2 linked regions of the Coturnix japonica genome follow. The protein of the gene in region 2 binds, or shares a complex with, the protein of the main gene of each other region. Links are inferred from orthologs where the notes say so. Each region holds a gene or a part of one and is shown on either strand. Other genes may lie near its edges.

What was found.
Region 1: the proteins of CCKAR (region 2) and CCK are in contact, whole or in part, in a cryo-EM structure (PDB 7MBX), measured with the Homo sapiens proteins. The link is inferred for Coturnix japonica from reciprocal best matches to the Homo sapiens genes CCKAR and CCK. Residues at the interface, in NP_000721.1 of Homo sapiens: Cys94, Phe97, Asn98, Pro101, Asn102, Lys105, Asp106, Phe107, Thr118, Met121, Gly122, Val125, Tyr176, Phe185, Asn194, Met195, Cys196, Arg197, Phe198, His210, Leu213, Leu217, Ile329, Phe330, Ala332, Asn333, Arg336, Ala343, Glu344, Leu347; in NP_000720.1 of Homo sapiens: Asp96, Tyr97, Met98, Gly99, Trp100, Met101, Asp102, Phe103.

The regions. Positions count from the first base shown.
Region 1 is NC_029517.1:40,254,398-40,258,647, forward strand, and holds the start of CCK (cholecystokinin), read right to left. Parts: upstream 2,826-4,250; 5' UTR 2,641-2,825; intron 1,740-2,640; exon of another isoform or gene 1,738-1,739; 5' UTR 1,736-1,737; coding exon 1,480-1,735; intron 1-1,479. UniProt on the Homo sapiens protein: This peptide hormone induces gall bladder contraction and the release of pancreatic enzymes in the gut. Its function in the brain is not clear.
Region 2 is NC_029519.1:66,250,732-66,255,034, forward strand, and holds the start of CCKAR (cholecystokinin receptor type A), read left to right. Parts: upstream 1-1,336; 5' UTR 1,337-1,731; intron 1,732-2,883; 5' UTR 2,884-3,031; intron 3,032-4,303. UniProt on the Homo sapiens protein: Receptor for cholecystokinin. Mediates pancreatic growth and enzyme secretion, smooth muscle contraction of the gall bladder and stomach. Has a 1000-fold higher affinity for CCK rather than for gastrin.

The sequences.
Region 1 (4,250 bases), on a different chromosome or scaffold from region 2:
TTAACTCCCACTGTCCAAAATAAGCTTTCCTATTAACCACAAGAGCAAAGGCCATCACTGCTGACTGCTAATGCTAGTAAATGCCCAGCCTCCCCATCCTCTCAGATGGAATTTTCTAGTGTGTGTTCAGACAAGCTAAAATAGCAGATGTAAATGTCCTGCAGAGATTTCTGAAGCGCTGCCCTGAACTTTCATATTAAATAAGAATATAATTGGGTTTTTCTTACGGAAAAGCAGTTGATTGGCACTGATATAAATTAATACTGCTTTGTTGTATTGACTCTCTTCTGTACCAGCAAGTACATCTGCACACTGGTGCCCAGCTAGCTCAGTCATGCTACAAGAATTCCATCCTCCTCTCAAGAGTCATTTTGTAGGGTTAAAAATTCATACTTATGAATGTGTATGCAGGCAATTCTCCTAAACACTTACCAAAAATACATCCTAAGTCTCAACCCTTTTCCTCACCTCACCTGGTTAAGCTATTTGGAAACATCAGGTAGATAATGGAAGGGAATGTTGTAGCTACACAGGAGAAAGGAAAGGAAGACCTTGTAGACTTTTGCCTGCCTTGTAGACTCTTCCAGCAGGATTCCTTAATGTAATGCTGTGAGAATTCATAGTGTGAGGAGAAGTCCCTCCAAATACATCAAAAGTGTTTTACTGTTGTTTCTGATTCAACCCTCCTCTGCATACAGGGGTGAATGTGTGCATCAGCATGCGTAATGCATAAAATGCAGGTGCCATCTCTTTATTGCAACCACCAAAAATAAAGCTGGGATGCTGCCTGGCAAAGAGCTCAGCAGTGAGGCTATGGAGAGAGGAGTAAATGTTGTGCATTATGATTGTGTGGAGAGACAGGAGAGGAGAAGGCTCTCAATTATCAAGCAAATTTCATCCTAAACAAACTTCAGGGCTGGGAGTCAATTAATTTGTCACTCCCTGTATGTCCAAGTAATCCTAACTTCTAATGCAATCTCTTTACCAGGGGATAAATGAGAGAAGCTACTGCAAGCAAACAAGATCTGCATAACCTCAAAAGCCATACTGTGCTTTTTTCTTGAGGTTTGCAGTTACGTTCCTCCCTTGGTGGCCAGAGCAATTACATTGCCCATGGTGTAACTCATTTCAAATAGGTAACAACTGTTTGCTCAAGCAATTAATAAATCACACGATAAAGGTGAAGCCTTGTGATTCCAGTACTCTCCTGGAGCTTCACGATCCCATTACTGAATGCTGGGGAGGCTTTAATTAATTGCAAGATTCTGTCCCAAGGCAACTGCTATGTAACAATAGCTTTGGGGTTGGTTTTTTTCCTTTTAGTTCTACAGTAAGTGGGAAAGGAAATGGTCTCTACTTCGGGAATAGCCAGACAAAATCTATTTCCTATCTCCTATAGGAATGCAGGAGTTAGTGCTAGATGATGGCAGGATTAGTATGTGGAAAAGCCGTGCCACAGAGGCAGCAGACGAGCAGTACCTTTCCGGGCTTGCTGCAGGTACTTGGCCAGCAGCGCACCGATAGCCGCCCTCTGCTCGAAGCTGCCATCCAGCCGCGGGGCGGGTTTCAGCGGCCCCGCCGAGGAGGGTGAGCGGTTGTGCCGGTGGGGCTCTGTCAGGCTCTGCTGGAGCTCAGCAGCCAGCGGGCTGCCATCGTGTGAGCCCGCGGGCTGCTGGCCGAAGGAGCTCACCGACAGCGCAGCAAGGAGCACGCAGATGCAGATACCGCCGTACATCGCTGGGGAGAGAAAAGGCACGTCAGGGGGTCGGAAAGATGGAGCACACTGAGCGTCATCCCCCAGCCCCGTCTTCTTCGGAGGCGCTGCGTTCTGAGGAAACTTTGTTCTTTTAATGCAGTTTAATGCTGTGGGATCTGTTCTCATCTAGAAGGTACGCGTGACTATTAGCTATCTGTTGGGAAGAGGAGGTAACACCACAGCGAACTGGTTTTATCTCTCCTCGAGTATGTGCTATGTCTCCCTTACGTGGTTCTTTTCTGTTTTGGAAGCTGCATTCCAGTAATAACTAAAGGAAACCTACGCAGCTCTGCAAAAACTCGCAGGGTCCGGGCAGCCACGTGCATTGCTGCTGTACTGCAATCTGCTGCTATCACAGATACCCAATTCTGACACGTCCAGCAAAGAGCGTTTACTCCCCCACCCCTCCTTGGTCTGAAATTGAGCCCTGAAGAAGCTGTCTTGTACAAGAGGAGAAGGAATAAAGCTGTGTTACCCCCAAAATCTCACCCCACCCCATCACCTGATTTAAGAGGGCAAGCAACGATGTGCACCGGAACTGTGCAAACCACAATTCAAACAAAACGATTTTTTGCCACCTCCGTAAAGAAACAACGATCGGATGAAACAACCCAGAGGGAAGCGGCACAGTTTGAGCACAGCATCTGAAATAGCACTTCTGGAAACGGGGCTAAGAGGAGAAACGACGCACCCGGCAGGAGGGCAACTTCCCGTCATAAAGACGCGTGAATTATCCCGCGTATGTGAAACCCAGCACCGAGCATCACCTTTTCACTTCGGAAGAAGGGAAAACGAAGTTCGTCCGCCCGCTCGCAACGCACAGAAGCGAAGGGCACCTGTCCTTCCCGCGGCTGCTCCCGCACCGCCCAAGTGCCTCTCCCTACCTTTCTCCTTCCCTTCCTTCCCCGAGGCCGGAGTGAAGAGGACCACGGAAAGCCGCCGTGCGTCCAAGCGGGATGTCGGGGGCTGCTCCGCCGCGGCCCCTTAAATAGCGGCGGCGGTGTTTGCACAGCTTTGACGCAGCGGCGGCCGCGGCCGGGCTCCGCCTCGGGGGGAGCGGGGCTCCCTCTCTCCCTCCCGCCCCGCCTCCCGCCTGGATGCGAAGTTCGGACGGGGAGGGCGGCGCGCAGTCGGGCTTGCTTATAAGACTCCGCTGCTCTCCCGGGGCCACGTGTGCCGGGCTGGCGCTGCGGTGTCCGCGGGGAGAAGGGGCTCCCGCACAGGGAACGGCCTTTCCGCCCCACTTCGTTCCCCCTGCGCGCTGTGCCGCCCGGCTGTGCCCCCTGCCCCGTCCCTGCCCGCCGCCGGTCTCGGCTCGAGGGTCTCCGCTGCTCTTCGAGCGGCTGTCGGCAGAGGGCGGCGGGGTTCCGCCTGGGGCTGCCCAGCGCTGCTCCGCAGACCCGAGTATCCCACGGCCCCTTAAAGCGGCCCGACGGCTCCCGAGCTGATGGATGGGGCGCGGGGAGGGATGGCAGAGAGAGTGTTGAAGGGGATGGTGCTGTGCAAGCGTTCTCGCCACGTTTCAGCCTCTAACCAGGGGCTTGGTCCCTGAAAAGGAGGGCAGAACTGAGCAGCAGGGCTGATTGTCGTCACAGAATCACATGTATCGGAAGGGGACTCTGGAGTTCGCCTAGTCCGACCCCCTGCTACAGCAGTCCCTCTGTGGTAGGCTGTGTGGGGGAGTGTCCAGGCAGGTCTTGAATATCTCCAGAGGAGACTCTACAACCTCTCTAGGCAGCCTGTTCAGTGCTCTTCAGCTGCACAGTAAAGAAGTTCTTCCTCATGTCCTTGTGGAATTTCTGTGTTCCAGTTTGTGCCCATTGCTCCTTGTTCTGTTGCTTCATACCACTGAAAAAAAGCCTGGCCCCATCCACTGACTCCAGCCCATCAGGTATTTATGAGCACTGACAAGATCCCCTCTCAGCCTTCTCTCCTCCGTGCTGACCAACCCCTGGTTCCTCAGCCTTTCCTCATAAGGGTGATGCTCCAGTCATCTCTGTGGCCCTCATCTCCCACATCAGATAGCGTTAGGTGACGTTTCCATCCCTGAGGCAGTTAGAAAAAAAAGAGCAAATCCCAAATCTCCTTTGAGAACAGGAAATTAAGTTGAAAGCTCATGTTCCTGGGAAGGAACAACACTGAAACTGTTCCAGCAGTACCCATCCAAAAAACAGTTTAATGGCTGCCTCTCTCTGGGTAAAGAAGAAAATCCAACCAAACAACCACACAAAGCAAAGCAAAACAAAACAACCCACAAAACCGGCATTTCTGATAACTCAGATTCACTCTTAGTGGAAAAGATGCTCACGGCTCTTAGACCATTAAATAGTCAACAGCGAATTGAGCCATAGGAGCCTGGGAAAAGTATCACCATCTTTCTGGGAAAGGTGCAGTTGCAATAACAGTTCTGGTAGAGTCATGTCAAGCCTTTGTGAAATGCACTGGAGATAATGAGTTCCCAAGGGGACAGCCCAGAGCTTAATAGAAGGGAAAT
Region 2 (4,303 bases):
TCACAGGGATCCTCATTTCCCTTACTAACATTTTTCAGATATCCTTTTTGTCTTCTGCTTCCTTAACCTGATGGCTGCTCTGTTAAAAGCACAGCCAGATGTGCCAGTAAGATAAATTACCTGGTGGAAACACTGAATGAACTGAACATGGTAAGCAGAACAATCCTAAGTTTCTCATTGTTTCTCATAGTCTTGTCTCCACTGATGATGCTTCTCTTTGTACAGACATATGCTTTCTACCCTTGAAAAGAAGCACAGCACACTGAATAAATATCTTAACCAACTATGGAATAGAGGCTTGTCTGATAGATCACAGGCAATGTCAGGGACCTGAAGAATCCTATACTGAAATACTTGAGATTGTCCTGTATTAGGCCAAAATAGGTTAAGTCAAAATGTAAAATGGAGCCTTGATTTGTAAACAAAGTTGATCCATTTACATACAGGAATATATTATAGCAGAAAACCGTTTAAAGTTTAAATACTGTGCTCCTATTATGGGAATTGTTGAGTAGGCACAAAACACAACTAGATAGTTGTAGCTTTTTGGCTTTGATTGACATTTATAAGAAACAATTTTCCTACTCATATTGGAGACGTAACTGGCAGGAGAAAAAAACAATACATAGGAGGAAGGAAAACAGATTGGAAAAAGCTGTGAAAAACAAGGAATAGGTAGTGACAGATGTGGGAGTGAAGCTGACAAAGACAGGTTTAGAGTGAAGGTTGCCAGCTGTAGGAAATCATTCATTTGCAGCTGAGGATTATGCCAGGCAAGGAAGTAAGGCTTCTTTACACACTAATTGCACCTGCAGTGTAAAAGCCTGGACTTATAGGCATTGATTTCTGGAGCTTAATGGCACAGAGTTTCATTTTTGACCTTCCATTAGTGCTTTCCTTTAAACTTCATTTTGTTGAGTAGGCACAAAACACAACTTGCCACGAAGATGATTAGGGGGCTGGAGCACCTCCCACTATGAGGACAGGCTGAAGGGATTGGGCTTGTTCAGCCTGGGGAAGAGAAGGTTGTGGGGTGACCTCATGCAGCCTTTCAATACCTGAAGGGAACTTACTCCCAGGAGGGGAGTAAACTCTTGCAGAAAGGGCTGACAATAGCAGGACTAGGGGAAATGGTTTAAGTAAAAGAGGGAAGATTTAGTTTGATGTTAGGGGTTAGTTCTTCACTAGGAGAAGTGGTTAGCGCCCTGGAACAGGCTGCCCAGGGAGGTTGTGGATGCCCCGTCCTTGGAGGTGTTCAAGACCAGGTTGGACGGGGCCCTGGGCAACCTGATCTAGTAAAGGTGTATGTTTGGTGCCCTGCTAGGCAGGGGGGGTTGGAACTACATGATCCTTGAGGTCCCTTCCAACCCGGGTCATTCTGTGATTCTAGATAGACTGCTTTTACTGTGGAAGTAAGTTCAAAATAAGAATGTGCACAAGAATTCAAGGCAAGCACCTAGAAAGAGTGGAACAAGCAGGTGAAAGTGCAAGCATGTGTAAGACAGTTCTGAATGCTGTATGCAAAGCCACTGAATTGCAGACTACATCCTTCTTCTCATGAACCCCTCAAATATATATTTTTATACAAACCTCTGTAATAAGAGAAGAGAAGAGAAGAGAAGAGAAGAGAAGAGAAGAGAAGAGAAGAGAAGAGAAGAGAAGAGAATGACAAAACAGTTCAGGAAAACTGTACAGATTTGCCCTGTCTGAGCTTGTCAATCATGGGCATGAGTAAGTAGTAATATAGGAGTATAATTGGAGGAATATGTACCTTCAGAAGGATAACTGTGGTATAGTTACCAGACAGCTAAGGCAAAAAGCATTTTACAGCCACATTTTCCCTGATCCGGCTCTGGGAGTTGAGACCCCTGAGCTGAATATTGCCCTAGTCCATCTTCCTCAGTAGGACGCCTCACTGCTCTTTCTAATTATTTTTATCTTTAATTGCTTTTGTTCTTCATTGGAAGAATCCCTGCAGCCAACTGGCCTACCACTGTTTACCAATGGACATATTTTCCAGAGCAGATGGGACAAAAGTTGCTCCCCAGCTTGAATATAGACATAAACTAGTAGCCACGTGGATAAAAATGTCCGGTTTTTGTCTGAAATTGCATTTGGGTTTGTACCCACTGAGAGCTGCAGCAGGGTACGTTTCTGCTGTATAGTGTGTAGTTATTTAAAATGTAGCAGAAAAATTCCTTCTTGGGGTTTTTCAGCACTCATGAAGTTTTTCATTTAAGTTAAATTAGATGTACAGTAAAGGCAGCATTCAGAGGATTTAGATCAGTGAGATGTCTTTCTCCCCCCATATGTGACACATAGAGAAACAATAAAGGGAGAAGACACCAACTATTTAAGGAAGATGATTTCAAAACTTAGTTAATATTTTCCTGCAAGTATGTCTGTAAAGGTTTACAGTGAGAATAGGCATGGCAGAAAGACTTAGAATAGCCTACAGAGCAAATATGATAAGTAATTTAGAGGAGAAAATTTTTGTATTTACACATATGTATACACATCCCAAATATATATACCTCATCTCAAACCTGCTCTATAAGTGTATATATTTCATAATCATGTGGATGCTTAGAAAAACACTTTACTCTGGCATTGTTATATGGTGTTTAAGGGCACTAAAACAACACATCCATGACAAAAACATGACCTATGGCTTATTCCTACTTAAAACAGAAAATCAAAGTATATTCAGAAATGTATATTATGTTCTGGTTTTTCAGATTTGATTTTAATATTTCTCACATGATCCAATTTGAAATTTCCAGCAGTCTCTAAATAGTGTCTTGTGAATGAGATTTTTCAGCGAGAAATAACTGTTTTTAGTATTTAATAAAATAAATTATGTTTTCCTCTTTCTTTTGCCAGAGCATTCCCATTTGACTTCTAATAACACCTTTTATGAGTAATTACTAAGAATTAGGTGAAACTTTGAGGAGGTCTCTGTTTGCAAGCTATAAAATTGAAGTTGACGGTTCTGGCTTTCTTCACTGAACTGCAAACAAAATTTAAATAGGTAAGAAAACTGTACAGTTGTGGTTTGAGCAAATAGATGCACATCAGGTTTAAAACCAGAGTGAGTGTGAATAGAAACTGGGAGCGTGTTACTTGCATATTTAAAAGAAGCTTTACTTGCTTCAAGCAGCTTAAGGAAAAAGAGGTTTTAAAATGAAACACTAATTGTAACTGGACTTTTTTAATGCCTTTGTCATAAATACTTTTCCTTCCTCATTTTTTTTTCATTTCCCACAAGACTAAAAAAATAAATGTTACAGAATAAAGGGAAAATACTGAGAAGAAATTAGGTATCCAAGAAACAATGCAGTAGCCACAGCTCACACTATGACTGCTTTACACTGCTTTGTTTGTGCAAAGAATGCTTATTATCAATGACGGTGATTACAGGAAGGATGAGACCGGTATGCATGAAATTGCATATGTAAGATAATGCCTTCAGAAACACAAACTGTTTGTAAAAGCAAAATTGACCATACAACAACTAAGTGTATCTTCTTCATATACAAGGATTACATCCCAAAGATCCATCTTTGTCCAGTACATTTGCCCTATTTGTAAGCCCTTGGATATCTGGGAAGTACCATAGCATCCAAACTAATTGAGGTTTGCTGTAACAAAAAGTGAATGTAGGGAATTCTGAGCAGAATTTGTTCTCAGGGTTTTGCTTCTTCCTTCTTCTGAGAGTTGAATGTTCTCCTTAGCAGCTTTAAAACAGTTTTGTAATGTAAGCAAAGACTGAACAATGAAAATGAATTTAAAACTTACGTGCTTTCTGTCACATTAACTCCCTGCACAGTGTAATACTGTATAAACATAAGCAAATAGCCCAAACTAGCTAAAGCAATTGTTCCTCGGAGTGTGCTTTCTTAAGAATTATATAGAAAAAGCGTGGTACGATCAATAATTTTATCTTGTAACAGCCCATCTGTGGTGGAACTCTGGAAACTGCTATTTATTTTCAGTTTTTGAATAACATTTTGAAGTGACTCTCTATGGAAATACTATCAAATGCTCCCAAGAAAGCTTAATGTAATAGTTGAAACAAATCCAAGTATTTGGCATCTCTATTCTCTGTTTCTCAAAAAAAAATACAACTGCCTGCAGTCCAAAATGCAAAGATAATTGGCTAATTTGCAAATAAATATAAAAATTCCACAAATTAAGACCAGTAGCAGAACTTCAACTTGTGCAAGTTGTTTTCCTTCACGAAGGTCTCCCTGTACCTATTCTTACTTGGTTCAATAATTAATCTAAACTGCTAGCTAGCAGA